Linked DNA regions of Drosophila melanogaster. The protein of the gene in region 1 interacts with the protein of each later gene in a pairwise test. Each region holds a gene or a part of one and is shown on either strand. Other genes may lie near its edges.

What was found.
Region 2: the proteins of smash (region 1) and CG14647 interact in a two-hybrid assay, tested with the Drosophila melanogaster proteins (one large-scale study listed by BioGRID).
Region 3: the proteins of smash (region 1) and Gs1 interact in a two-hybrid assay, tested with the Drosophila melanogaster proteins (one large-scale study listed by BioGRID).
Region 4: the proteins of smash (region 1) and Pgant1 interact in a two-hybrid assay, tested with the Drosophila melanogaster proteins (one large-scale study listed by BioGRID).

What each region holds. Positions count from the first base shown.
Region 1 is NT_033777.3:4,656,307-4,663,750, reverse strand, and holds the start of smash (smallish), read right to left. Parts: upstream 4,173-7,444; 5' UTR 3,352-4,172; intron 3,225-3,351; exon of another isoform or gene 2,812-3,224; intron 1-2,811. Other genes in the region: spartin, read right to left, coding at 5,939-6,170, 6,542-6,848, 7,096-7,444.
Region 2 is NT_033777.3:4,397,679-4,404,516, reverse strand, and holds CG14647 (uncharacterized protein), read right to left. Parts: upstream 4,008-6,838; 5' UTR 3,940-4,007; coding exon 3,379-3,939; intron 3,164-3,378; coding exon 3,032-3,163; intron 2,917-3,031; coding exon 2,602-2,916; 3' UTR 2,500-2,601; downstream 1-2,499. Other genes in the region: lost, read right to left, coding at 1-48, 1,237-1,315; CG9853 (uncharacterized protein), read left to right, coding at 4,624-4,775, 4,837-5,071, 5,132-5,764.
Region 3 is NT_033779.5:129,291-136,837, reverse strand, and holds Gs1 (glutamine synthetase 1), read right to left. Parts: upstream 4,762-7,547; 5' UTR 4,356-4,761; coding exon 3,156-4,355; 3' UTR 2,366-3,155; downstream 1-2,365. Other genes in the region: CG3164 (uncharacterized protein), read left to right, coding at 6,287-6,330.
Region 4 is NT_033778.4:15,508,438-15,517,389, forward strand, and holds Pgant1 (polypeptide N-Acetylgalactosaminyltransferase 1), read left to right. Parts: upstream 1-3,272; 5' UTR 3,273-3,294; intron 3,295-3,374; exon of another isoform or gene 3,375-3,376; 5' UTR 3,377-3,666; coding exon 3,667-4,328; intron 4,329-5,129; exon of another isoform or gene 5,130-5,184; coding exon of another isoform or gene 5,185-5,195; intron 5,196-5,308; coding exon 5,309-5,830; intron 5,831-5,959; coding exon 5,960-6,581; 3' UTR 6,582-7,160; downstream 7,161-8,952. UniProt on the Drosophila melanogaster protein: Catalyzes the initial reaction in O-linked oligosaccharide biosynthesis, the transfer of an N-acetyl-D-galactosamine residue to a serine or threonine residue on the protein receptor.

The DNA.
Region 1 (7,444 bases):
GGTTATGCAATTATAGTTTTCAATTACTGCACTCCGTTGTGGGCATTTAAAATCAATTAAATTATCCGGATGGCATCAAAATCAGACTTTGATTCCATTTCCAAGTTCCAAGACTTACAGCTCCACTCAACTCCATAAGAGCAAAACAAATCTTCTCCTTAAAACGAATTAAAAATACGAACTTGAAAACTAATCGCTCTTTAATGATAAGCGGACAACGTAGACCCAACTTAACAATCCGGTTGTGTTTTAATTATACGGCTAGCTCACGGATACGAACTAATAAATACTCATCGGGCGCCATTAATTTACTGGGATTTGATAGGAAAGACTTCGCCCAAAAATTAAGTAGGTTTTCAGGTGCCTAGTTTAAAACCCCCGGCTAAATAACACTGAAAAAAATCATATTGCTTATAATATAAAAAATGAAAGTTAGGGACAATAAATTATTCGAAAACCACCAATTAAATTGACTTTGTGATCCAAAATTTTTAAGAGTGTATTTCAGATAATATTCAGACATAGAACAATTTTTTTCAGTGCGCCTAAAATCACCCAATGCAGACACAGGCAAGTGCAGTTTCCATTTTCCAGGCCTGCGTGCGTGAGAAAATGGAAATGGTTGAAATAACAGGTAAGTTAATAAGCTGGCTGTGCCACCAATGCGTTCAGAGCGTCTTCTCTACCTCCATTGTTTCAGATTTCCGTCGACGACGAAAGACATGAGGCGTTCGGCGTGGAACAAAACCATTCGCTTTTCTGAACAACCTGTCCGAGAGTCCAGGGGTTCTACCACTCTACTCACATACACTCGCTTGAAAGAGTGGACACTATGAGTTTGTACAATAATTGCACAAGTATCACTCACACTGCCCGGTGAAACAGGTAGGCGACGAGCCCAAACTGGGCCCATATGGGTGGCCACGGCGAAGTTGCCGGCAGCAGATGGCAGTGACAAGTGCTTTTGGTTATTGTTATGAAAGAGCCGGACTCGGGCCGAATTGGTTACGAAATCGGATACCAGATAGCACCTCCCAAAAGGGAAGAGTTGAGCATGTGTATGTCAAGCACAAGATGGCTTAAAACAAGTCAGTCTGATTTGGATAAGGTACTCTAGTATCATGTAATTACATGACAATCGCTTTATTTCTAAGATTCTCATTATATTTCTAGCTTTTGAAACTAATGTATGAAAATTTTAACTTACGAAATGCGAGTATGTTTAGAACAAAATGGAACAAATTTGTAATTTCGCCACTGATCTGGATTTCATTTACCCGATTACAGAGCGGTCCGAAAGAGAGACCAACTTAGTTAGCAAATGAAAATGAAATGTTTCCCTCTATGTAATTCTGATTACAAAACAAAATGAGCCACGAAAAAAAAAAAGCAAAACCGGGCTTCGAATGTGCCCCAACCGGCAGACAAAACAACCGAAGACAAATGGCCATAAAATGAAAATTGCAACTTTGGAAATTATTCGGCAAACAAGTTATGAGCAGCCGCGGCATTTGGGCAGTTGCGGCGGCGCCAATTTCCACGGCACCCTTTTCCTCCGGTTTCCTAGCTGGAGCCGCAGCTACTCCTATTTGTACCATTAAGACCGCTTCCGTCTTTGAGGCAAACTGAACTCACATAAATTGACGCACGAGGCGCGCAAAAACAATGAGATGGGAAAAGCATAAACAAAACAGCAGCGGCGGAAAAGCTCTTCGAAAAACAGATGATGAGGAAAATACCCACCGTGCAAAGAAGTGAAAAGTACACTTGAAACAAAAATATAATCCGATATTTGTTTGGACTAATAAAAATTAAACTACCAAATTTATAAAACCGATGTGTAAACAATATGATTTCTTGATCATACTATTTTCTGTCGCATTCAATCGCACTATAGAGAAAAATATAAAAAAAGCATGAGAGCCGCCACCCACCTGCACCATTATGAATTGATTTTCATGTGAGGGCACAGAAAAAATAATATTCGCTTGGGAAAGTGCCCCGGAAAAGTGTGTAACGTGTAACGACCGGCACCGCTCTCTCCCACACTCGCCCTGCCAATTGCTGCAAAAAATTGCCAACCACTGTCACCCGGAGGAATTTATTGCTCCTTTTGTGGGTAGTGCACGCTATCCTTCGAAAACCAAAAAAAAAAAATTTTTAAGTTTTGAAAATATATTTGTTTGACGATTTTCCAGGCACCAGAACTTGGGAGACACAAGTACTTACATACATACATACATAGAGATGTTTTTTTTTTAGATTTTGAAACTCAAGTTCGGAAGACGATGAACTCCATATCGCCGGGGAGTGTGTAACCCACTCCAGCCCTTTCAAATACCTTTCTCCTGTCCCATCACCTTCATCATCCAATCCACCCGATCCAATCTAGTCCAACGCCCTTGCCGCCGGGTTTGCTCCGAAAGTCGACTTGGTCCGCTCGTAACGCAAATGAAGCATGAAGCCTGAAATATTAGCCAAGTGCGCGGCTGGCGAAAAATGCGTCGCCCTGTCGCACAACTAGGCAACCCTGACAGCTGCATTCCGCAAATGCAATTAAACCAACTTTCCAATGATGGATTTTTTCTTTCGATTATAATTCAGCCGTTTTTCCCCGTCTTTTTGCCATTACCTTATTAGCTAAAAACCTGTAGCCTGTAGCTCGGGCAATGACGATAATGATGATATCAAATAAATGACTAGGCGCCCGAGTGCTGCAAGTTTGAGCGGTGAGAAAATTGGCATGCAAAGTGAAAATGTTTTGGGGAAAAAACCTATCAAAGCCAACACAGAAACGCATGTCGAGGGTGTCGAAATTTTTTTGAGACACATTTGTCGAACATCAAATTCGAAAGCCAGCAGATCGGTGGATGGATCGCAAGAATGTACAACTCAAGCTCACAAGCCTCACTCCAGAACACGAGCCTCCATCTACAAGTTCCGCCTGACCAACATGATCCAGGTCCCAGAATGCTGCTTGAGGTCATATCCCTAGTCCTGGTCATCACAACGTTATTTTGCTGCTACTGTTGCGTCAGATGAATGGATCTAAGCGATCCGCTCAATGAAGAAAAATCTCCGAGAGAAATGTGTTTTACCCAATCCTACTTTTTGATATCCGTTAGGAAAGATAGGAAAGATATTAGTCTTCATTTTTCGAATGGACCTTTTTTTATGTAAACTTCAAGCCAATAGTTACAAATTGCATAAATAAGCACGTTACTAAGACAATTGGCTACCTTTTTACACTTTTCTTTTCTACACTTTTTACGGTTTCAAAATGCAGATTTTGAAATCACTTATTCACTTATTATTTACTTTATTCATTGTGCAGAAGCTGAAAACACTTACCAACAAAATTCGAAGCTCTGTTCGTTGCTGGCACAGATGCTGTTTTTTACACAGTTGTTTTTCGGCGTTCAATTACATATATAAAAACAATTCAAAAGAATGGCGAGTCAATTGGAACAGCCACTGCAGAGTCCTAAAGTTGTTGTTGTTGTTGTTTGGAGCTGCTTTTCGGGAACAGGCCAAAAATCATTAGAAATTTCTATACTCGAGCGAGCAACACGTACACACGCACACATACGCACTCGCACACAGAGGCGCACCCACACACACTAATAAACGCGGGCCAGAAAATAAAACGGGAAACGTGTTTGCTTGTGTACTGTTGTTAGAACTGTTGTTGTTGCTGCGTTCGCAGTTGGCTGTTTACGGCAGTCGTTGTTGTTTATACAGGTTGTACATATGTATTTGTGAGCGAGAAAAACAGTTTTCCGCCGCGCCGTAATTGCAACTACTCAGCTTGGTGGATTGGACTCCCGTCAAAATCGGAAATAAAAGGCACTACCCACCCACATACACACACAAACACACTTCTGCCAACTCTCCTCCCTCAACCGCACAAGCGCCGCAGTTGCACCTCGACTGAATTCACGATTTTACACTGCACAGGTGCAGTGCTGCGCAAAACAAAACGCAAGACTCTCGGATCCGAACTCCGTGGCTTTGGGCTTTTCCTGCCTTATTTCCCGTGCGCACATATGTACACATTCACATGTATTCATGTACCAAGGGGCGAAATCACGTCCGAGCGGGGAATTATGTGCTTGCGTGCCGCGCTAAACTCTTAGCCACCTCCTTTTGGCCGAGTTCAAAACGTACTGCCGAGCGTAGGAATTTGTGGATATAAAAATGGGGCGGAGTGTGGCCAGCTGAATCAGTTGAGGTGGGTCGAATCGGACTACGAGCGGTATTTTTATCTGTCCGCAGGCAAGGTCTCTCTGTACGCTCTTACGTTTTTTGTTACGTTGTTCGGCGAAAAGCCTTCAAAATAATTAACAACTTTCTCGGTTTTTGAATTAGTACGTAAAGTATTGCATACAAAAATCAACGAGACGCTGATGGATCAATCTATGAAGCTTTGGGATCAAATAATATATAATATTATATAATGATATATGGCGGAGTTTAAAACCAAACCAATTTCAAGATAATTTTTTATTGCGCGTCCCGAAAGTATGCTACACCCATTCCTTTTTTTTAAATTTATTTATTTAGAAGCGATGAATCCATACAATGCAGCAATAGCAACATAACAGCGCAATTAACATATAAATGATAAAACCAAACCTCTCACTAATCATGTGAGGATTTAAACACCCATTCCTATTTTCAGAATGGAACTCGCACGAGAGCTAACGTTTGAAAACAAATGTATTCATTTACTTTACTTTTTTTATATATCGACTGGTAATTCTTAAGAATAAATCTCCACCCTGTGATGCTAAGATACAATATAATTATGTACGGATTCTTTTTAATAAATATATATAAAAAAATGTATTCATATGATTTTGACAATAATATGAGTATACATATTCCTATATTCTCCTAATATAAATATTAATAGGATAAAAGGACTATAATAAGGTAAATGTAAATATAGTCTAGGAGAAAGTTTTACCAACAATAGGGGTTATAGTCATTCATGTTATGTTATGTTCTGATTCGGGAGCTGAACCCTAACTAAATATATGGGCTCCTTGATATATGACACTTAGGACCTATAGAATATCACATTCTATATCTCGTGTATAAAACAAAACGTGAAGTTTTACCATATTTCGCCAAAGTATATATGTGGGGTTCATCGCTCGTTATATAAATTCCTAACTTGTTTATATAAAATTTGACTCGTTCCGCAAAGTTTTTGCTTGATCAGAGTGCTTTTTAAGATAGGAAAAAAGAATAAGGAATAAGATAGCTATATAGAGTCTTAGGAAATGGTTAGGAAATAATGCAAATAACATAACCTTTTCAACAATATAAGATTCAAAAGTCTGTAACTTCAGGCGATCGGAAGCTATGACAGTACTTACGAGGATTTAAAGCCGCTAAATTAGACGGCTTTTTATTGATCGTCAATCTAAAGATACTTAGATCAACATTTGTTCACAATTTACATGGTACGTTCATACTAAATTCCTTGCTAAAATTGTTAATTCTTTTAAATTAGTGAAAGAGGACTGAGTTGTGTATCAAAAATCAGGACATTTTAATTTAAAAACAAAAGATACCCGATACTTAGCGGTTGGAGTGCTAGGAAGCTAGAATTTAGGTTATACAAATATACAAAGTGAATTAAACATTTTTCTTTTTAATACTTTCTAGCTTCGGTTTATCTACAAATACAAAAGTAAAGCATTTTTGAACACTAAAATAAGGTTTTGATGCAAAATCTTTCGAAATATCTTTTTTATGTGTTATTGAACATAATATTTATTTATATTTTTTCTTTTAATTAGAAGCTATAAATGGCATATAAATATTTCAATATAATAATAATAATAATAATAATAATAATAATAATAATAATAATAATAATAATAATAATAATAATAATAACATGTGATAAATTCCTTTGGTTTTCCCGCTATTCCTTCAAAGCTCGAAGATCCGGATAAAGAGATCCGGCATTAATATAATGAGATTCCGATTTGCGTAAGTCTCGCTTGTAGTCACTGACCACAGCTTCTCCTGTTCGTTTGACCATTTTCTTGGCAATGCCCTTCGGGGTTATGTAGTTCACGTTCTGACTGACCACGAAAACGTTGCCCACCGTGTCAAAGGTGCCACTAGCCAGATTCCCCGTCTGCTGGCCATATCTGAAATAGCAAATAAATATATGTAAATATATGAAATATTAAAAATGCCCGCACTATATGTTTTTCTTTTTCGAAGGCGAAAGAAACCCAAAATGAATATCTAGATCTTAGTAGACCTTTAGTAGCATTACATATTTGAGACGATTCACAACAAGTTATAAAACTTTTCTTTGTGTGCAAGCTTGAGTAACATTTCCCGATCCTTGATCATTTTTGCGATCCTCTGCACATTGCGCATAACTTAAATCTCAGATATATTTAAATTGAATAAACCGTTGCCAGCCTAAGTGATTACTTTCAATTCGGACGAAAATTCGTAATGACATCTGTTACAAAACTGCATAAGCATTAAGAAGCCAAAGCCAACCCACTTGTGTTCGATTATCTTGACGGAGTTTTCACTGAGGCTGGAGCCTAGGATCTTGGCGGAAGTCTCGAGGCCATCGAATACGGTGCTCACTCCTTCCACGGCTCCTGCCGCGATGGTCATGGCGCCCTCCATGGTGCTATTAGCCTCGCTGGTGTCGTAGCCAAATCCCTTCTGCAGCAGTTTAGAGCCTTGCTCCTGAATGTGGGGAGCCAGGTAGCGGCCGACTGCCATTGAAGCAGTGCCCACCTTTCCAGCTATCCATCCTGTCATTCCGGCTGCGGCGTGCGTCACTTTTTGGGCCACCTCAACTATAATGAACAAAAGGTTACAACATAAGATACATTAGATCTATCTTATATGTAATCTGCACATTTCCAAACCATTGATTAACATGATTATCAAACACAAGCACAAACTCCGATCGAGGTGGAAGTGTAGTGACGATCACATCTTCGACTTCGAATCTTATCTTCTAATTTTATCGTTACATGCTCATTCGGAAGCTACCATACTTCCGCCCTAAATACAGCTCTTCCCTATTTGGAACTAACTCACCTGAAGTTTGGACGGAGCTGGGCACCTGAGCATCCATCGAGGCTGGCGTCATCTTGGAAATGATATACGGAGTACTCCTAAGCATAAAGCCTCCTGTCTTCTCGGCGCCCCGTACCAGGTTACTAGCAATGAAATCAGCCGCACTTACAATGTGTCTGGACACCTGCTCCGACCCGGAAACGGTATCTGAAGCTAGGCCAGCACGTTGGGAGGTCGGCGATTTCAGCTGCACTACCGTGCCAGCGAGTACGGCCTCCAACAGGTCAAGAAAGAACTGCTGAAGATCCTCCAGTTCGTCCTCCGTGCGCGATGTCTGGCCCTCCTTCGTTAGCATCAAACCAAATGCATT
Region 2 (6,838 bases), 260 kb from region 1:
TCCAGGTCTGCACGCGCAGCGAGCGCTTTGTGGGCTCTATGGGCTGAGCTGTAACGACATGTTTGTTACAATAATATGCTCCAATAACATAAACAGATGACTAAAAGAAACATATTTTAGTTTATTGCAGCGGTGAGCTCATTTGTATTTGTGTTAGTGATAGCTAGCCTTCATTAAATCAAGCCACATTCCATTCCAGAGCTGATCTGTAGGTATGATAACGTGCGGACCCAAGCGATTCCCCAACTTCTCGGACATGTTAGTTTTTGTTAGGGGAGGTTGACTGTAAAAGTGCGAATCAAATGTGCTGAATAGCAACACAGCCGCTGCCCTTATCGTCTGTAATGAACGCGTGTTATCACGCTAGTTGGCGCTGGACTAAAAGTGATACCGCGGCTGATATACCGGTTTCCACGCCCAGTAATCAGATGTGAAAGTGACCCAAACATACACCAGCAAACGCCGGCCCGTATCATTGAAAACAAAAATCTGCATGCAAAATCGGGACGGCAGGGTTGCCACCTGTGCTGGTTAAAGAACACACGTCAACATGCATGTGTGTGCGCTTGTTGAATTGAAACTGAAGTATGAATTGGCCGCTAAAACTATTTCGGCCGTCTTTCTTGGCGGGTTCAATGAGAAATACAAATTAAGAACCCATATCCCGATATTAACGCATGACCAATAAGTTGGCAACGCTTCGACACGCACACACTCGCACGCACACATTTCTGGGCGATGAGCGCATCGACTCGCGAATTTCTCAATTAATATGTATTCGTATGAGCAGTGCCGCGAGCGTGTAGTGGTGTCGGGCAGCGCGGGGCGCAAGCGAGCGGGTGAATTGACACTGCGAGCACAGAATCTCGAAATCGAAATCGGCCAAGAGCACCGAAAATGATTCATTTCACTTTTTGTAATTGTGGGAAGAATGCGCGCAAAGATGACGTAATTAGTGTCAACAACAAGCAACTTCGGCGTTTCGGCAACTCTTATTTACAGCTAGGGTCTCCTAGAAATAAATATGGCGGAATTCGACAATCTTCCGCTTCTACACTGGCACCTAGAAAATGGCTGAATCGGGCACCTGCCCCTCTGGAACATGGGTATTCACTTTGGATGCCCAGCGAGCAAGGCGCGGCGCGGCGCAAAACATTTATGGAATCACCAGCACTCGCGAGAATTACACGCAATTTTCGTCGGCGAGCGGGCGGGGTAGTAGGGCAGGCCACTTACTTGTCGAAGACACCTCCTGCGCGGTGTTTCCGCCGTTCTCCGCGGCGACAGCGGGGGCTGCGTTGCTTTGGTCCTCCATCGAATCGCTCGCCAATTGTGTTTTAGTTCTGCTCACAATTTTTTACCGGCTCAGGCTACGGCTACACAGTTCACAGTTCACAAGCAACGTCTACCGTTCTCCGCTGGCTTCCAACAAACCACGTTTGAAAATTGACGTTTCTCTGGTGACGTAAAAAAACATCGCCGATGCGATACATCGATACATTTCGTATAGAGTTGCTTGCGATGGTTCTAGCTAAAAATATAATAAAAGTTATACATCTGAGCTTATACACGCCACCGACAATATACATTAGATCTACATGCAAGTCCATCATCTTTTTTCGCTTCAATTGTTATATATTATTTTAATAAACATCGAGTACCACCCAGATAGTTCGGTAAAATTGTAAGCTGTGATCACTGCGAATAAGGTATTAAAAACTAAAAATAGATAAATTTTATATTATTTTCTTTATTTATGTTTCTTGTAGATAAAGGAATCGAAGGATAAACTATAATTAACACAGGCTCCTGCCCCGGCTTAGGATTTTCTAAATGTAACTCTTCTGCAAGGTCCCTAAGGAATGTTTTATATAAAAATATAAAAGAATCTTTAGTGATGCGACTAAGACTATGTAATAAACAAAAAAAACAAGATGGAATGCTATAGTCGAAATCCCCGACTATCAGATACCCGTTACTCAGCTAGTGTGAATGCGAACGCGAAATTTCATTAAAAAAAACAAGAGGGAACGCTATAGTCAAGTTCCCCGACTATCAGATACCCGTTACTCAGCCAGTGGGAATGCGTTTTTAGGGCGTTAGAATGGGTGTGGTAAAAAGTTTCTTGGCAAATCGATAGAAAATTTCAAGACTAATTAAATTATGAAACAATATCAACACATTTTTTAAAAGTGTGGGCGTCACAGTTTTGTGCGGTTTGTGGGCATTAGAATGGGCATGGCAGCATGGGTCAACAAACGTGAGCCGCGTCTCTAAAATCTGTATGCTTAATCCCAACCTCTAGATTTTATAGTTCCTGAGATCACGACGTTTATACGGACAGACGGATAGACTCGGCTATTGATCCGGATTATATATAATATATATCCCTTATATAGTCGGAAACGCTGCTATCTGCCTGTTACATACTTTTCTAGTACGAATCTAGTATACTTTTTTACTCTACGAGTAAGGAATAAGAATAATACACACGACTTTAGAAATTCAATCCTAATACTGTTTATTTTATAACCTACTATTAAACTTTTAAGTATGTACAGTCAATAACAGTAATATTAGTGATAGGTGCCAACCAAGATATCATCGTATGGCCTGTGACATGTGCAATGGGGTCACCATTAGGGTAAGCTCCGCGTCCTTTAAATTTGCCCCACGCAAATTTGCCTCCTGCAAGTCGCTGCCAGAAAGATTGCATTTTTCCAAGTCGGCACCTGCTAACACCGCAGCTCGCAAATTACAGTTCTTCATATTGGCGTTCTTCAAATTTGCCACACGTAAGTTAACACCGGCCATGTTGCTGCTTTCCAAACATGCTCCTTTGAGGTTAACACCCTCTAGATTAGTTCGAACTCCTGTTGGGTCTTCAAAATTACACCCACGCAAGTTTGCACCTTCCTGAAAGATTAGGCAGATTAGTTTTCTTAGCTAATTGGATGGCGTAAATCTGTTACAACTAGTTTCACAAATGATGTGATTATTTAATAGCGTTTTCTGTTAAACCTGTGCTTACCATATTGGCGCAAAGTCCCCGCACTGACACTAGTTGGGCACATTCCAAGTTTGCGTACTGAAGATCCGCCCGTTCAAGACAGCAGTAGTTAAGATTGGTGTGGGACAAATTGCAGTGAGACATGTTGGCATACTGTGAAGGAAAAGGGATAGTCTTTAGTATAATTATTGTCTTCAACTTGATAGATCTCCACCAATAATTTTCCATTTTTTTCCGGACGAAAATATCTCCTTTACTGCGTAGCAAACTACAATAATATTAAAATGCAGTCGTGTTACGGCGTTGGAAAGACTTAAAATGTTGTATTACACAATGTATGCATTGAAATGAAATTCGTTTGCGCACACCTTGAAGTTAATGTTGCGAAAATCTAGCTTTCGTAGATCGGCCCCAGACAGATTAACGCCTTGAAAGCGCAGCTCCGTTATCACGGAGGTCTGAATGATGGCCTTGATGACGTCGTTGCGCGTCAATGGTCTGTCCCCCAGCGGCGTCTCCTGCTGTCCCAGGCGTTCCTCCAAATGGGTGACAAGCGAAAAGATTCCGAAGAACCGCGCCTCCTCCAAAACACCCAACACACTGATGTTCGAATCGCATACGAATTGTCCGTGGCGGAGGTAGTTGATGATCGGCTCGAAATATCGAGGACTTCGATCAATCAGGTATGCTCCCTGCTCGTCACGCTCGCTGGGCTTCATGCTGCCATTTTGCAGGAACATCCTAGCAAGCATTGAATCCGGTTCTCTGCCCACCAGAGTGTCGATGGTAGTGGCGTAGATTTGTCCACCCACGTTCAGTTTGACCCAACGATTGGGAGCGAATCCGCTAGCGGCGACGAAATCGCCGGCTGCCGGTGCGGCGTCGTCTTTTCTGGCTCCGGAACCACTCTCCTTCAGATCACTATTCATTTGATTGGGAAGTTTAAAAAATTTCCACAATGCCTGGCAATTCTCAGCTGCTTTATCTTCCCGTTCTTCCCCCGTCATTCCATTAAAGTCGTCGATTAGGGCTGTTCACACGAGGCCGCAACAGCAGCAGCGTTACATTTAATAGTTGTGTGAATTATGAGATATTGGTGAATTTAGCTAATAATTTAAATTAATAATTTAACGAAGAGAAGAAATAGCTCAAATAAACAATTATCAGAAAACTGGATATGTCTTATCTTATTACTGTCCATTAGCTACAAAACATATTATTATTTGAAATTTAATATTCATATAACGATGATTTAATATTCATATAAGATGGTATAAAATAACAAGCGAATTGAATTATGAAGAACCAATTTTCAGATGTGAAAATAAAAATATTTGTGGACATTGGACATTGCAAGCAGAAAACTATTAAAACCATAAAAGGTGTTTTACGAATGCATTTTAAATTACCAATTGATTGGTTAGAAGTGTAAACCCTCAATTTTTGTTTTGACATTGGGCGCCTGTGCAAAGAGTGTTATAGTTGGCAATCGACACCGATAGTTTGTCATCGGGAAGCTGGTATATGTAAATACAAAATAAATTATAAAAATTGGCTTCCACATAATTGAGAAGGTCGCTGAAAGCGTACGAATAAACCCCGCAAATAACCAAATGTCTGCCGCCGAGACAGGTCCAATAGCCAGCGGCAGTGCGGTGTCCACTGGACAGCGCGGTGTCAGCCGAGTACTTGCCAAGTTGTCCCAGTCTCTGGCAGGAGGAGAATTCTATGAAGCGCACATGATGTATAGGACGCTGTATTTTCGGTAGACTATTTGTATAATCCGTGCAAGGAAATGCAATCCAATAAGAAATTCGATTCCTTAGGTATACGGCGCAGAAACGCTATCAGGACTGCCTGGAACTGCTCTTTGATGGAGCACAGCAGCTTATTGCCAAGGAACAGGAAAGCAGCGCCGCGGACCTATGTCTCCTTCTGGTGGACACGTTAGAGAAGCGAGGACCACAGGCGGAAGATACCGACAACTTCCTGTGGGTTCCACGCCTAGGGGCTTTGATCCGCGGCCTTAACTCCGCGACTGTAGAGCGCGAAACCCTTATTGTGAGTCTTTGACATTATTAAACGCGACTTATACCGGCAATGAAATTTTTTTTCCTTTAGCAACGGACCATTAAGTGGAGCACGGCCTTGCATGGCCAGTATGGCCACCCAGTGCTCCATAAGTTAATTGCGCACGTGTTTTGGACCGAGGGCAACATTGAGTCGGCTCGTCACCACTATCTACTCTGCCAGGATGGCAGCCTATGTGGGCGAGTGCTAATTGAAATCAGCCAGAGCAGGGGCTTCCAGGGCGAGATGGACTTGTTTCTGGTACAAGCTGTGCTGCAGCAGCTATCCCTTAAGGATCGGAAAACTGCAGAGGACACGTTCACTGAGTACACACGCTACCACGCCAAGCTGCTTAAGCATGAGTTCCCCTATAAGGAACCGCTGGTCAACTTCTTGTACTTCCTATTCCGTCTTATTGACGCGAAGCGTGTGGCTGGGTTTCGGGCCTTACGCAAGCTTTACGATCCATCCCTAAAGCGCGACACGTCTTTTCTAAAGTACGTAGCCAAGATTGGGGTGCTGTATTTCGACGAGCATCCGGAGGCTGCTCATTCTGGCCCGCCCGGGTTGGGCGGAATGTTTGGTGACATATTCAATCGCCTTATGGCGGGCTTTGAGGAAGATGATGCGGACGATCATGACACGACCCTGAGGCGGCAAAACGAGAATAACGAACTGGAATAGCATGTATGCATTAATGAAGCATACCGAAGAGGGATCCTTTGTTGCTGGTCTTTTTGGTTGCTCAAAGTCAATGAAGTTCTTTGCCACAAAATCATCGGGCTATTTTGTTATAACTTTAAATTGCTGTATGCTAAATAATTTTAAATAAGCGTATGGTCTTGATTATGCAAATTATAAAAAAATAGTTATTCAAACAAAAATCACTATGACAAGTTCTCAAAAATCTTGTTTTGGGAATATCTTTTGAACTGGTAATTGGATTTTTGTGCTTTTGTAGTGCTTGCCTCCTACGCACAATATCCGGGTGCGCTTCGTCACAACGTGAAAATACATCGCGATACATCCCATAGTCGACATTTCGAGGATGCAATTAAAATGGGAAAAAATTGTAAAGAAAAATTAATTAATTGAAATATTTGAAAAGTTTTATAATTTTATAACATTTGTATTTCCAAAAATAAATAACCAGCATCGAAAGTCGACATTGAATATGCGGGATCAACCCGGCTTGTAACATAAAAGCAGAATCCCTTATTTAGGTGTAGTATAATTTGTTCTCATTTCCCTCCGTTTTTGTGTTATTCTGTATTGGCGGAAGAATTCAGAAAAGTTGTTTTTCCAAATTTAAATTATGTATATTTTAAGTCAGTAGTGGACTAGGTAGTAGAATTCGAATACGTGTGAATATTTCGTAAGTAGGTCAATCGTTTTTAAAAATTATACAATGTATCTAACTTGTCCTTCTGGAATCGACGGCTTAAAAATAATACGACGAAATCCCAAAAAAATATTTATGTTGCGATATAAGTGTGACCAGCACAAGGGTAAGTTAGCGTCGACCTGGAAAATACAATCTGAGATCTGGTCCGTCCGAAAAATCATTGAAAGTGCCCTGGTAGAATAAATCAGATTGGGTTTATTTAGTTAGTTTTATTTTCGTTGAACCACCCAAAATAAGAGTAAAGTTGAGAAACGCTCAGAATTAAAGCCACAACCTTTAACCGAAAAGGCCAATCACCGCACAACAAAGCCGAGTGAGAGCAAAGTAAGCAGGACCTTAAGGTTGGGCCTCTG
Region 3 (7,547 bases), on another chromosome or scaffold:
CCAGATAAAAGACAGCACTTGTTGGCTGCCTGTGTTTGCGCAAGAACCCCACCGTATCGACACCCGCCATAGATAAAATGGAAAAATCGGTTGCGTAGTAAACTATTTGCGGCCGCAAATCTTTTCTTTTTCTTTTCATTCCAAAATGACGCTACGTGACCGATTAATTGCTGGACATCGGTCACAGGACATAGAATTATAGGATTATATTATATATATTATGTATCTGCTTGTACCTGACAGGTTTTATAATTCTCCAGAGTGCGACCACATATTTTGATCGAGCAATCATTTACGATTGCGCGGACTGAAAGTAGCGCTATAAAACATAATCTCAACAAGCAGTTGGTGCGCTCCAAAAGAAACATCACATAAAAATAAACAGCACCCCCAGCAACGATTATTTCACCAGCAGCTCCACAACAGATTCGCTCTGTTTTGTTACCCGTTTATTGCCGCTTGTCACATTACGTACTGCATTGAGTCCGTAAATCCGCTGTTATCAGTGCTTTTTCCGACCACTCCCATTGCAAGGCGAGCGAATGTCTTGACCCAGTTAAAGGCTCTGAAAATGGTAATTTGCAATTGGCCAGACAAGAGTCGATCAGTAGATGAGTTTACTGTGACAGGCCGTTCAGGAATCACGCTCCACAATCGTGCCCAACTTTAAGGTAATTTAAATAAAATTCGCAGGGGTCTGGGTAAAATTATTTCATCTCTTTATATGGAATTGATTTGATCAATTATGGTTCAACATTATTTTATTTTCGCAACCGCAGCCAGTATGATTTATTGCCCTTTGATAACCCTACCCAGGCGGAGGTATTTTTCTGACCGAGTCAGAAGTAAAAGGCACGGTACAAAAGATAATGGTAAACGCTGGACAGGCTTTTGCAGCCGGAAGATTAACTTCGTGGCCTTACTGTCTTATCAGTTTGCTTGGACTTTAACCGAGTGAACTGACGAACTGAAGATTTTATAGGAAGGTGAGGAGAGTAAGTGAAGCTTATATTTCTATCCAGTCGATCGTTGCCTACATTTATCTAGAGCAAAAATATATTATTTTGATCACTTGATTCAGTGATATATCAATATCATTTTGTTATCAATAGTTTCGAAATCAGGTGTCCAGCTTATCATTCCGTTTTATGCAAATCGCCTGGTCTCAGGCAGCATAACTGGATCTCCTCAGGCCTGCATTGTATGATGTTGACATCTTTGAACGTGTTTCATGCATACCAATGAACCTGCTTCAATTAATTAATAATCTGGTTTTTGGGCGACGGTGCGGAACTATTGAGTTCTGTGGCCATAACAGGCTAGTGCCTTGATTCGATTGTTTATGTGATTTTAAAATATATTATAGTATCTACATTGTGCCCACAAATGCTGCAATGGAAAACGGGTATATTAGATAGTCGAATTGGAATTGGGCACAGGAATGCGTTCGAACATTTAAAGATGAGTTAACGAAGCTATAGATGGTCTGACTACGGATGATTCCGTGCCTCTTTCGGCTGGCTGGCTTGGTCGAACTATCTCTGTGTATTTAACACTGTTTTGTATAAACTGGATGGCCTTATCTCTCCCTCTTAACCTTATTACATTTGCATACCCCGTAATCCGTAATCCGCTCCCAGCAGAGCCAAACAAACACCGCTAACTGCACCTCAGAATGTCAACAATTGCGAGAACGGACATGCAAAGTGCAGTAAAAAAAGCACACTCAATTTTAGATGCTCGAAGACATACTAGATACATACATATGTATGTATATTAAATATCAGTTTAGTAGTACTGCAGTATCTGCTATTTTAATTTAATTCAAATTTAAGATTTATTTTGTAAGTTTAAGTATAATAACCACACTTAATAGCCCCCCTTTGAAGCGATTGAGTTCGCGGTTATACTCAATCAATATAAGATTGCAGGGAAATGCAATTGCCTGCCATCCCAGAGTGCAGTACCCCTGCCCTATCAGCTGGACGCAGTATATTGCCATTGGGAATATACGAGTATATGGAAGCATTGTCTCCTTCGCAGCCATATCTTTCATCCAAGCATACAAACATACATATATGTACATATATACGAGGGTGTGTGTCAGTTGAGCGAAAAACACACATATTCTGAACGGAAACCCTAAGATTTAGTCTTTGAATACTTTCAGTGTCAGGCAGCTGTTTGTGGTGGAAAACTTTCCATTAAAAACAAGGTCTTGCCTTAGCTAGTTTTTGTGCCCTCATGTCACTCTTATTTACAAGCAAGCTGTTCTATATTTTAAAACTTTGATTTTCACAGTCATTGCAACAACAGTTGTTCAAAAGCTCGCCAGAAAAGAGAAAATAAAATAGTCTGTAGTAATGTGTTTTGCTTTGTACGCAGTTCTGCTTTTACTCAAAATGTATTTATGTATCTCAATGGAATTTTTAATTTTGCTAGTGCTAGTATTTAGACATTTATATTATAACAGCATATAGTAAAATGATGTAAAATGCTACCGAACAAAGTGAAGCGACAGATCCGTAAAGTGAGATACATATGTACCAATATATATACATAAATTAATTTCTTAGTATTTTATTTTTAACAACTTCTAATCAACAATTGGTTTTTATAAACATATTTCACATATATGTGTATTCGTGCTCATGGATATGAATGATTAATATGCATATCGTCCGATTTCAGTGATATTTCCTTCTTAAATTTACATTTAGAAACTCTTAGGAGTTATTAAAAAAGTGCGTTCAAGAAGTTAAGGGCAAAAAATGGCGTTGACCGAATTCAACGTCGGATCCCAAAATGTTTGTTTGATCTAAAAGGTACAAAAAATTAACGTAGAGTACAATGTTTTTTATTATTTAGATTAAAGCAATGATAGATATACGTAGTTTGTGAGATATATGGCAAAGTATTCATGAGGCCCCATCGCTTTAAGGAAATTTCGCTTTAGCTTAGTTCTTCTTGCCACCCACCCACGTTCTTAAATTCTAAGCGCACGCTTTTCGTGCCTCGGTCTCCTGTCTTTTTTGCACAAGCAAACTAAATTTTGCTTCAGTTCAATGTAAATATAACCAAATGATCGGATACGCTTCACAGTTCCATAAAACATAATGTACAAAAAATTAAACATCTGTTGCACCGCTCACAGCCTACTCGTTGAGCAGGCAGGTGCGAACAATGGCGTTGCACACGGCGTAGGGATCACAGTTGGAGCTTGGCCGCCGGTCTTCGAGGTATCCTTTGCCGGCCGTCGCAACGCCACGCGGCACTCGCACACTTACGGCCCGGTTGGCCACGCCCCAAGAAAACTTATCGATGCTAGAAGTCTCAAGACGTCCCACGAGGCGCCGTTCATTGTCTTTGCCTTCCTTGGGGTCGTATGCCTTGATGTGCCGCTCGTGGCGCTTGCTCAGCTTCTCGATAGCTTCCTCGATGGCCTTGATTCCGCCATCAGCACGCATCTCCTTTGTGGAAAAGTTGGTATGCGCGCCGGCTCCGTTCCACTGACCCTCCATCGGTTTGGGGTCAAAGGTGACCACTACGCCATACTCCTCAGCTATGCGCTGCAAAATATATCGCGACACCCATAAATCGTCACATGCCTTAATCCCGGCTGGACCAATTTGGAACTCCCACTGCGCGGGCATTACCTCGGCATTGGTGCCGGCGAAGTCGATCCCAGCATACAGGCAGGCCACGACGTGGGCCTCCACAAGATCGCGAGCGTACACACGGTCAGCTCCCACGCCGCAGTAGTAAGGACCTTGTGGGGCTGGGAAACCGTTCTCCGGCCAGCCGAAGGGACGTCCGTCCACGTCTAATAAAGTGTATTCTTGCTCAATGCCGAACCAGGGCTCCTGATCGCTAATTAGGTCAATGGCTGCCTGGAACGCGGCACGCTTGTTGGACGCCGTCGGCTTGCCGTCGGCGCTGTAGGTGTCGCACAGGACAATTACGTCGTTCTTTCCCGGCTTAAAGGGATCGCGATATATGGCGCGTGGCTTGAGCGTGGTGTCCGAGTTCTCGCCATGGGCCTGGTAGGTGGAACTGCCGTCGTACTGCCAATCCGGCAAGTCCTCCACGGAGCTGGGTACTTTGTCCAAAACGCGATCCTTGAGGCGAATGTTCTCGCCGGTACCGTCGATCCATAAGTAAGTAGCCTGCACTCGATTGGCCGGCGTTTCCAGGTTGCGGTACCTCTGCAGAATGCTCTTGTCTAGAGCCGTGTTGGGGGAGTTGGCCAAGAACTGGGAGCGGGTGGTATTGCCAGTACGCAGCAGACGCAGCTGCTGTGTTGCGGGAGCCACCAGCTCCTTCTTCAGGAAGAGTCCTGCCACGCGTAGTGCCATCTTGGTTCTTGGATTGGAGTCGGCGAGAAGGACAAAAGGACACGGTTAGTTATGTATTGCTGGCGAATGTGAGGACGTGCGCAGGAAGGGCAAGGGCTGGTGGCATGCTGGCTCACTCTGCTTTTCTCATGAATTTTTATGTAATTATTTTCCTTGCACTTGATTTTCCGAGGTAGTTAAAAAAGGGGTACTTTTCCAGTGAAGACGCAGTCTTCCGCACAACTTACCGTGCTCTGCTCGTTTTTCCACTTTACAGTTATATGATTGGTTAAACAGTCGCTGGTTGGACAGGTCTTTTGGTAATTTTGGATTGCGGTACTTTCGGTTTTCGTTTCTGTTTCTGTCAGGGGCTGCGGAGCGACTGTTGGGGACACCCGACCAATTCGATGTTTGGAAGTCTTGTGAGCACAGTTAGCGCGACAGCATTCACTTTTTTCGTTGTTTCGTCGCGCGCCTCGGGTTTTTCTTTATCTCGTTTGCGACGCCGACGCACAGACAAAGGCCTCCCAGAGAGCATTCAAAACTGGCGGTATATGAGCACCCGCTCCGCAGCCACTAGCCAGAGAGACCTGCAATGCGACCCATAATGTTTATGTTTCGAGGCTAGTCGGGTAGCCAAAAGCCCCGTTACTGAGCACACGCTATAAGCTCATTTATGCATTTCGAGCACTTGTAGCTTGCATTAGCGCCAAATGAAAAACAAAAGTTTTTAGTAATTCTCATCGTAGAACACCTGCACCATTTATGTGCATGGCCCACTTTAGAACCCACAAATTAAGTTCTACATTTTTGATAAATTCATTTCAGAAACTATGATAGGTTACGCAGTATGCAGATGCATTTCAGCAGTACTACTTATTACAACACTCTCTCATTTCTCGTAATCTCTTCGTAAAAACCTCCACCATTTTGCTCTTTGGCTGATTGTTTTGAATACACGCCTGGTACAAAGTTCACTATATACAATTAAATATAGCGAATGCAAGGAGCACCGTATCAGCTGTGTCTATTCGTGTTTGGCATTTGATAAACTCTGTGGTGGACCGCATTAATAGAGCCTTAAATGAAGCAATAATGATTTGTTTATAATATGTAAATTCGGTACTAAATGTTCCTATTCCTGGCTTGGGTCTCGCATACGACGTTCTGAATATTAAAAATATATCTAACTAAAACTATAACTAAAATAGCAGTATAAGTACACAGTGTAGCCAACTTTTAGGCTGAGTATGTAAAACGTTGAAATTTAAATGCTATGTAAATTCTGATCTAAATATCCTGTGTGGAGGATATTCAATATTTATTTGTTACAGATTATACTTAGTCCTAGGCCGTCGTTCATCAAGCCACGCATATTGGCCCACTCCCTCCTACATAATGGCATGTTGTCGCACAAAAGCCGAGACCACAGATATGTCTTCCAATTATTTGTTGGTTGCCTCGTAACTTAGAGGAAAGTACTGAAGAACGGATGAGTATATTTCAGATAGGATTAATGTTAAAATAAAGCTAAAACTCTGTTTCTGGCGGGAAAGCAAGCTTTTTTGGACGGCTCATATTGGGAGAGCTTCAGGTGGGCATAACAAAGAAAACAAGGAAAACAGAGGAAACTTTTATGTGCCAATGTGTGAGTGCCACTTTTCACCATAGACCCGAGTAATTCCCATATAGCCGTCTACGCTTTTCCAGTTACGTGGCATCGTTTCCACTAGTTGGCCGGCTTCAGTTTTCGCAAGAAACTACGAAAGTTTCCCTCCAGCAGAGTGTACATATTTTTACACCCGATGTGCAACAACCAAATACAAAATCGCTAATTCTTATATTCGGTTTGGGTTTCGACTGCCTATTCGTTATTGCCTGCGACTTAGCTTTCGCGAAGGCAACTTGTTGCTTCAAAGCGATGGTTTCAGTAGCTGTTGAGTTACGGCACCATGAACCAGTATAGTTGGAAGCAGTTTTTGGAAAATAATAATCTGTAAGTAGCCGAATCAGGCGGGTCTCAAGCAAAATGCATCACATTTAGTTGGCACATCTAATATACCACACCCCCCGTTTATAAAACGAAATCAACAAGTGTAGAACAACCGGTTTGCAATTCCTGCCAATTGTTGACATCTCCGTGACTTGATTAGCCACAAGCTTTAAAAAATTTCCAAGCCAATAGTCATCGGGAAATTGCCAGTGGAAATACATTATTCTTTCATATCTTAAGGCGACTGCATAACTTTAGTGCTGTATGCTGATTTGAACCCAGAAACCGAACTAGGAATAATATCTCAAATTGCGGTTTGTACTGGGAAAATACCTTTTGTTGGTCAATTCATTACGTTTTTACTTGCCCCAATATATACAATAACCGGTTTAACTAAACGTTATTAGCACTCCCAGTGCAATCCGTAAATCCCAATTAGATTGGGCAAAATATAGACCGGAGCATCGTAAAAGCATGCCAACAAGGAGCCTTACAGCAATGTCTACATCTAACTGTTGCGTTCAGATATACCACAAAACTGTTTCTGGGGCAAAGTTGTAAGGTCGTCCCACGCCATAGCCACAAATGACCTCATGCCACATTAAATGTAGGGAAAAGCAAAATGTAGGTAAAATGTCGCGTAAGCAAACCATTAAAAAGCGTACTAGAGCTCCTTTAAACGAATTACGGCACCGATTAACTTATTTTTACGTAAAACACGAAATGACAAAGTACAACCCCTTATCGGCTCATTGAAAACTCCTATCAGCTGTAGATTGACACCCATAGATAAGCCCCTCCAATAACTCATGAGTCATGAGCGAGGCCGTGAACTTTTAACTTAGATTGAATAAACCAATGGCCAGAACCTTAGCTTCCAGGACTAACTACTATAAAAGGCTGATAAACCAATCAAAGTACAAGACTGGGAATCAAAGACCTTCCTCAAGGTAAAGACTTTCCTCGAAATTAGTTAGTGGTATTTTATTTCGAGATACATGGGTCCGCCGATCGAGGAATATTCACAGATTATAGGCTTTTCCCAAATTCATTCAAGACTTAGTAGAAGAATGCGCTGGCTTTTGAGAGAGAGCCAACCCGCAGTGCCTCTCAATCGCACTAGAATCCCCACCAGAAGTAGTGCTTCTATTGTCGTCCCACTCTAACCACAGACGTAAAGCATTGGGGCTGTGAGAGTATGCGATGGCACTCTCTGTCAG
Region 4 (8,952 bases), on another chromosome or scaffold:
CGCTAGCATGGCTAAACTCACTCTGCTCAACCTTCGCCAAAAGCCATAAAGCAAACAAAGAAATGTTGAATTGGGATTAGCCACCTCCGCACAATAAATGATAGCGGATATGGAGAAGAAGCGGTTATTGTTGGCGCTGTTATTCAAATGTATCCGAATCATCACATCGGAGGTTGCGAACATTGAGACAATCAATGCTCAATTTTGGATGTTGATCGATACGCGATATTGATTTTGATGTGGTTTTAAGAGACAATCGGCCCTATCTGTGTATATCTGCGATGCGATTGTAAAAACCCTCGCGGATGAAAATGTGCATTCCATCAGGTATGATGAGGCGACCCAATGAACTGGTCAAATATTTGATGACATCTCACATAATTGGCTCTTACATAAATACTACCATAAACAGTCCACAATGCGGGTGTCTCAGCAGGAACCGGGGATTATGCAAAACCCCAACTGGCTACCGCCATAAAACCGCCTTAGTTTGTGCTCATTTGGATGGATATTTGTGCATATACGATCCGAATCATAATTTGGTTCGTCACTTTGGCGCCACTTTTGACGCGTGCTGATTGGACCTAGGGCACTGGAATTGAAATTGGTATCGGATTTGGCGATGGGGATGGGGCATTGGGTAACCGGTTAACCCCCAAGCGATGTAGTGGGTGAGACAATGGGTTGGCATTGTCATTGCCAAGCCAGTATCGTGAAATCTTTCACTTTCGATTTAGTTGTAAACGAAGTTCCCCTTATAAAATCGCTCGAACTGGATCATAAATCACGCTGGAAAACGTATGATAATGTGGCATCATTACGCTTCCCAGGCAGATCAATTTGTCATGGGAAGTCGTGGACTTGCTCCAGCTCTGATCCGGCATAATCCTATCAGAGTCGATCCGATCAGATCCGACCTGCGCTCATCCTATGGCACTGACGAAACCTCAACGCAATCATCGGAATTACCCAACCTTTTGACATTTGCAAGGCTTTCGAAGCGAAACGAAAGTAGCAGACGAACCATCCGTAATCCGTAAAATCTATGGCAGACATTTTTCAATTGCAATCCCAAATCCCAATTCTGTTATTATCCGCCGTTGACTGCCCATTTCCATTGATGGATGGTGATCGTTAGTCGACCATTTCTTGGCTGCTTGTGTGATCTTCAGGGTCATTTAGATTTAATAGATTTCTGTGGCCCGAGTCATTATGGCAGGCACCTTAACCGCAGTCGTCGACTCACATGTGGAACAATATCTGTTAGTGGTTAAATTGTTTTTGACCCTTTTCTTTTATTGTACGCGCTATAATGAGACCTCGTTGGGGGCTCATTATTGAATAGAGTAATTTAAAAAAATTATTTATCGAGCACTTCTGCTATTTACACAAAAACATATTTGCGGACTCTTGAAGGGGCCGCGTTTTTCAATCCGGTTGCGGCTCATAACACTTAAGAGCTAATTCGACCTCAGGCCATTAAACATTTCACAAATGTGCTGAAAATGCACAATTTTCGGTGGCGATAATAAAAGAGTATTTCAAATTTAAGAGGTGTTAATTTTTTCGAGCGAAGAAACTAATCTGTTTCAATGCCGGATTCGCTGCATTTTTACAAACTAGTATTTTAAGGTCGCACACGAAATGAAATTCCAAAATCTCGTCTGGTTCCACGTCGTACGTATCTATGTATATGCATATATCTCCCCCTTTTTGCTCCATCTTTCTTTTTTTTTCGGCAACTAAAACAAAGGCCCCATCCCACTGAGCCCCGGCCAGAGAGTAACTTATTTCCTTCCTAGTTTTTGTCGCTCAAAGCCATTAGGGAGTTTTAGCGAAGATTGGCAAAACAGTTGCCACCTTTCAGCGACTCAACGGTTGCTTCCCACAACTCCAAAACTCCAATTACCATGGCTGTGGAGCACTTTGAACTTTAATTTATCTGCTGGGTCGCCGATCTGGTGGCCGGTGGCGCCTCCCGCAGCGACACCAATGCGTATACGTAACGTATTAATTATGCGACCCAAGAGCTCACTTAAAAACAGCAACTGGCACTTTGGAGTCGTACGTTAATTAGCCAAATTAATCACAGACCCCAACGAAATGGGGCCAATCTTGTTGGCATCAATTCGAAGCATTACAAAATGAAAGTTGCGATGAGAACCAATCTCAATTAGAATTCAAATGAGATTTAAACAAGCCACCAGAGACAAATTCCACTGGCAACATGTGGTGCTTGGTTGCATGTTCGGACCAAGAGGCGTAGCAACAAGTTTTTAATGGAAAACCCATTTGTTGCCCCTTAACAACAAATGAACATGCCATTTGTGCATTAAGTGCCGGCCAAGGTGTCAAATGCGACAGTCAGTCGGTCGGTCAGTCCCTTTCGTTTTCAACGGCACTCGGGGGCAGGAAGTTTTGTGATTTAAATTTCCGCTTTTTTCGCAATTGATGTGACAACTATGTGGCTTGGCATGCTTGTTGGTTATAAATTATAATTATTAGTTTTATACTCACACATTAAATTGGTACGATCTACACGGCAGACACTGCTTCCAATAGTATATCATTATAAATGACTATTAGGCGTATAGTTACCATGTCTTACGAATCGGCTTTGATAATGCAATTTAGGATTAGTTCTTATACAAATAAATATACAAATCATAGTCTAAATTATTAAAAAAAAATTTTTTTGTCAGACTCTTAAAAACTTGTAGATTTCTTATATTCAAATTTGTTTTAAAAAAAATGTCCAAGCTACCTTACAACTAATCGAGATTTTCTTAATATAAAATGTAAAAAAAATTTTAGGGAAATGTATTTTGTTGTCCAAGCAGCCTAGTTATCTGACTTATAAAACCAGTTTAAAAGACACTGGAGAATACTGATATATGTATAAGACCTTTTTGGTAAAGTGGTCTTTGTCTTTGCTTAAAGTTATTTACATCTTCTTAAAGCACAAAGATGTAAAATTTTGTTAAAAAGACAAAATTATATGAGCACGTTTTCTGTAAGACTTTATTACAAATCTACAGGACAAACAAAGGCTTAAATATAATTTTGTAGTTTTTCACATTGTATTATGTGCAGAACACTAATAACCTGGATTGTACAAATAATAAAAACTGTTATTATAAATATATTATAATTAATTAATAACAGTGAACGATAAGTTTTCAAGCAATGCCCACTGTGGCAGTGCTGCGAAGCGCCGACTTAACAGCTGTTGCTGCAAAAGTATCCCAAAATGTACTAACGCTTGAAGCAACAGCGTATAGAAAACATGCCCGAGTAAGTTTTCGTTGTTTTTTATTGTTGTTGTGTTTGATTTGTTGTTGTGGCAGTCGCGCTTAGAATTAATATTGCCATTTAGTCTAGTTTAAGCCACTCCACAAAGCGGCGGTGCGCGGCGCTCAACGGAAAGCGGGAAGAAACTGGAATTTGTGGTATTGTGGGCGAACCGAGAAGCCACGAATCATACTTACAAAGTGTCTGGATTTTTCGCCAGCGAATCGGAGTTAAATGATCGAATAGCGGGTAAAATCGGACAGCGGACGCACACGATCCGATCCGCAGAGTCAGATTGGAGTGGAGAAGTGAAGCTAGTGCTACCTCAGAATCCCAGATACCAGCAGTCCCAGTCAAAAGATATTTTAAGCCAACATGCTGCCTCGGTTCCGTTCCTTTTACGGCAAACTGATCATCTTCATCCTAGTCGCCCTCTGCTTCATCCTCTACAGCAAGGTGCAGCAGAATGGTTCACCAGAGGAGCCACCTGTAGCGCCACTCGTCCGGGCGGCCGCTCTGCGAGGTCATGGGCGCGAGCGGTTCGAGGCGTATAGCGACAGTGAGAACGAGATAGCCCGACCCGCCACCCAGTCGCCGTACGAACAAATAATCCAACTGGATCTTCAGAAACAGAAGGTGGGACTCGGCGAACAGGGCGTGGCAGTGCATCTTTCCGGTGCCGCCAAGGAACGAGGCGATGAGATCTACAAGAAGATTGCCCTCAACGAGGAGCTAAGCGAGCAGTTGACCTACAACCGGAGTGTCGGTGACCACCGGAATCCCCTGTGCGCCAAACAGCGCTTTGATTCCGACTCCCTGCCCACCGCCAGTGTGGTCATCATCTTCTTCAACGAACCCTACTCCGTGCTGCTGAGGACCGTGCACAGCACTCTGAGCACCTGCAACGAGAAGGCCCTGAAGGAGATTATTCTGGTGGATGACGGTAGCGACAACGTGGAACTGGGCGCCAAGCTGGACTACTATGTTCGCACGCGGATTCCCTCGGGGAAGGTCACCATTCTGCGTCTCAAGAACCGGTGAGTTGAAGCTACAAGGTGTCTGACCTAAAAAAGTCGAGCTGCCGTTACTCTAACTAAGAACAAATGTATCTGAAATAGCTGTTTGCGCCAAAGACTTCAGAAAAAGATGTTCGGTTTTTCCCAATCTAGAATGGCAAAAATACGTGAGCTATATCCGCAAGATAAAAAGGAATTAAAAGGAATTCCAGTAAAATGGCCAAACTATAGAAATCCAATCTTGTTTATGTGATAAAGTTTTCATCCACTCCAGTACTTTAGAAACCCTCAAGAAATTATAGACTTGATTAGTGGCCAATATAGTAGTTATACTTGCTCATTCACTTTCAATGCGACTTTTGGCATATGCAAATACTAAGTGTTAAACTTAAAGCATGCTTTCGTGTTTTTGAGACACAATTCGAAGCATTTATTATATTTATTTATATATTTATTTATATTTATATATATTAAAAATCGAAATCAAGTGTATATACACGTTTCTTAATTATTGTTCATAAGTGCAACAATGCAAAAAAGGTGAAAATTTGACACCTAGATAATTTCCATTATTGCCTATGGGCTAGGAAAAGTTCAGTAATTTGGCTAATCGAAACGCTGACGACTTGGACTCATTTGAATAACTTGTTTGCCATGTCAGACGCGCATGGAGCATCTTCTTTTTGGCCAGAACCGACAAACGCTCAAAAAACCAAAAACTAAAAACCGAAAAACAAAATGAAGAGAAAACCAGTTCGTCAAGTTACGATTATGTGTGTTGGGCTTGACTTTTTGTAACTCCCAGACTCGGTTTCTGCGTGCATTACACTCGTCAGCCCGTGAGCTTTGCAGACTTTCGGATGACTTCACGCGGTGGATGCCATGTAGGTTGGTGTTAATCGTGCTTGGCAGACGATCGAAGGTTTTCGAATGACCCAATAAATTTGTTTTGTTTTGCCCTTCACATAGCATAAAGAAAGTTTTCGCCTGTCTCTTTGCAGATTGGGTTTGATTCGTGCCCGATTGGCCGGAGCGCGAATCGCCACGGGGGATGTGCTCATCTTCCTGGATGCCCATTGCGAGGGTAACATTGGCTGGTGCGAGCCACTCCTGCAGCGCATCAAGGAGTCGCGGACTAGCGTGCTGGTGCCCATTATCGATGTCATCGATGCCAACGACTTTCAGTACAGCACAAATGGCTACAAATCCTTCCAGGTCGGCGGATTCCAGTGGAATGGCCACTTTGACTGGATCAATCTGCCGGAGCGGGAGAAGCAGCGCCAGCGACGCGAATGCAAGCAGGAGCGGGAGATCTGTCCAGCATACAGTCCCACCATGGCCGGCGGACTGTTTGCCATAGATCGTCGCTACTTCTGGGAAGTGGGCAGCTACGACGAACAAATGGACGGTTGGGGTGGTGAGAACCTGGAGATGTCCTTTCGCATCTGGCAGTGCGGCGGCACCATCGAGACTATTCCCTGCTCCCGCGTTGGACACATATTCCGCGACTTCCATCCTTACAAGTAAGCGAAACGAACTATATACTTATAATTTATGATGAAGCTGACCTTCGAAGCGAACTATAGTAACTTTATTGTCATCTGCCATTATCTATTGCTGCATTATAATGAACTCATTTAAATTCTTTATAGATTCCCCAACGATCGCGATACACACGGTATTAATACTGCCCGCATGGCTCTGGTTTGGATGGATGAGTACATCAACATATTTTTCCTCAACCGGCCGGACCTAAAGTTCCACGCGGACATTGGAGATGTCACCCACCGAGTAATGCTGCGCAAAAAGCTCCGCTGCAAGAGCTTCGAGTGGTACCTCAAGAACATCTATCCGGAGAAGTTTGTGCCCACGAAGGACGTGCAGGGATGGGGTAAAGTGCACGCTGTGAATTCGAACATATGTCTGGACGATTTGCTGCAGAACAACGAAAAGCCCTATAACGCCGGCTTGTACCCATGCGGCAAGGTGTTGCAGAAGTCGCAGCTATTCTCCTTCACCAACACAAATGTCCTGCGCAACGAGCTAAGCTGTGCAACCGTGCAGCACAGCGAGTCCCCACCGTACCGGGTCGTGATGGTGCCCTGCATGGAGAATGATGAGTTCAACGAGCAGTGGCGATACGAGCACCAGCACATCATTCACAGCAACACGGGCATGTGCCTCGATCATCAGGGACTCAAAAGCCTGGACGACGCCCAGGTGGCGCCTTGCGATCCCCACAGCGAATCCCAACGATGGACCATTGAACACTGAGGAGATAGGGTGTAGCGGGGGAATGGGATGGGGACCAAAGCAACTGAGAGATACTGACTAACGCCGACTGAACGGAACTCGAATTCAAATTAGAACAACCCTTTGTAAATACCTAAATCGAATCCTAGAATTATATATTTTGTGTACACAAATCGTGTATATTAAGAAGAAACGGGGTAGCTAGTGCAAATCAAATCGAAAGGAATCAAATCAAAATAAGAAACCAGCAAATCAAACGCAAACGAGTCATTTGGAAAGCTAATAACAATTAACTGTGTGTTGTGTACTTTGTGTGTATAAATATAAATAGAGCAAGTTGTAAGAATAGAGTCGAACCATCCTATGTAAATGATATAGTCGCCATGTGATCGTGTAAGGATGTAAGGCAGGGTGTGGAACGATTGCATTCCATGGCCAGGGATTCAACAAGGAGCTCTCCTGCGTGAGAGCATCCAGCAATAACCAACTATGTAAACTGTAAACTAAAAGTGTTGTAAGCATTTATCTACATAACCATTTTGCCATTTGTTTTCATGAATAAAAAAAAACTTCCGACTGGAGGATGTACATCTTCAAACGAACCATTAGTAGCCTCTGCCTTGGGTCGAAGGTGTTGGGCCAACAAAATGTAACCAGTTAGTAGCAGTCAAGGCCGAGTTCAGCGTTAATATCGCAGTGGCCGCTTGTTGACCCAGCAGCTCTACTGGTCCACATTTACCCCCCAGCTGTGAAATTAAAGCCAACTCCATTAAAAAATGTCCATTGCATGTTTGTATATTTGTATTTATAGATATAAGTACATATTTCATATTCTCTTTTATTTTGTTTTGCTTTGTTGAAGTTGTTCAAATTTGCTGATTACGCTTGTGTTTTTTGTTTAATTTCTCTGGCGTGTTGGCATTAAAATACTTAAATTGGAGTAAAACAATTGTAAATTACCAGAATTATCTTTACTCTTTCCGCTGCTGACAACTATATTCTGCACTCTAGTCTATTCTTTTATGTTCTGCATTTGCAACTACTAGTGTGGAGTGAACTAAACTGACATATCCGTACTTACAAACCGAACGAACCGAACCAAATTCATCAACAATGGTTTTTTTGCTTGGTGCGTCTGTTTGTGTACTATGATAAAGCAGGTCTAGCATATGGTTTAGTTTATTCATTAACTCGTGACTGAACTCTTGGATAGTTTATTTAACGGCTGATGGAGTCGAGCTATAATTGTGGTGTAATAACATTTATTCGTTGACCGTGCTAAAAGCTCTAAGAGTGCGCAAACTTACAAGTAAACTCTTTCCGAAGGCTGCCTTCTGATCCTATATCCCATATAGTTAATATGTGTGTGCCTAACATTCCGTTACGCTAGAGGCTAGATGCTAGAGATGCTATATGCAATGGCAAACTATTTCATTTGCGGGGCTGATTGCATGAGAACTGCACTAGATTGCACAAAAATATGATTAGTTCTTTAATAACGTCAAGGTACGATTCAATTTGTCGGCGTTCCAATCGCGATCTCTACGGCTACTTAATTTTTCAATTGCATTGCACACTGCCTACAACTATGGATTTTCGATCTATTTTACAAATAAACTGACTGGGCTGCGGCTAACTTTCGTTTTCAATCGGGGACTCAACTACGTTACTCAATCAACCTCTAATTGAACCTCTAGTTATTTTGCGCTAGTTAAATGCGTTAATTTGATGGTGATTTTGCCGGTCATAATGCCACACTCGCTATGTACATTCATGTGATTAAATTAATTCTGAATTGTAATGCTCAACCGATTTGAATTTGAATTGCGGCGTCTACAAAATGCACACACATACATACTCAAACAAATGCCCCTGGTTGGGATTTAATACTCGGGATTCCCCCAGGGAGCATTCAATATTTAAATTAGTTCTGTCTCAGTTAGGTTTATCATTGGTAAATATGCAATTTATATTTATATTCATGAATATCCATGCAGTTGTAAGTATATATATCATAGTTGTATCTTGACCTTGGATTTTAAATTTTGGACGTATTTTCAAGTATATTTTGGTAGTTGCTTTTCGCTTTTACGCAAGTAGAAAAACAGTTCGAAAATATATACCTAATATATATATAATATAAGTGGTGTATATTTATGCTTGTATACACTGGATGAATGGTTGTAGATCTTCCAGTTGGGCTTGACCTTTGACACGTCCCCAACTGTTTTCTGTTGGATTTCAGTTTCAGTTTCGTTTTTGGGTTTTCTAAGTGTAAATCGCTCTTATTGTGTTTTAAATTGCAATTTATCTCAGACTCAGTTTTGGAGTGCTTTGGATGTTGGTTGGTTGGATGGATGGATGGATACGTTTACGGTTTTACGTACAAACG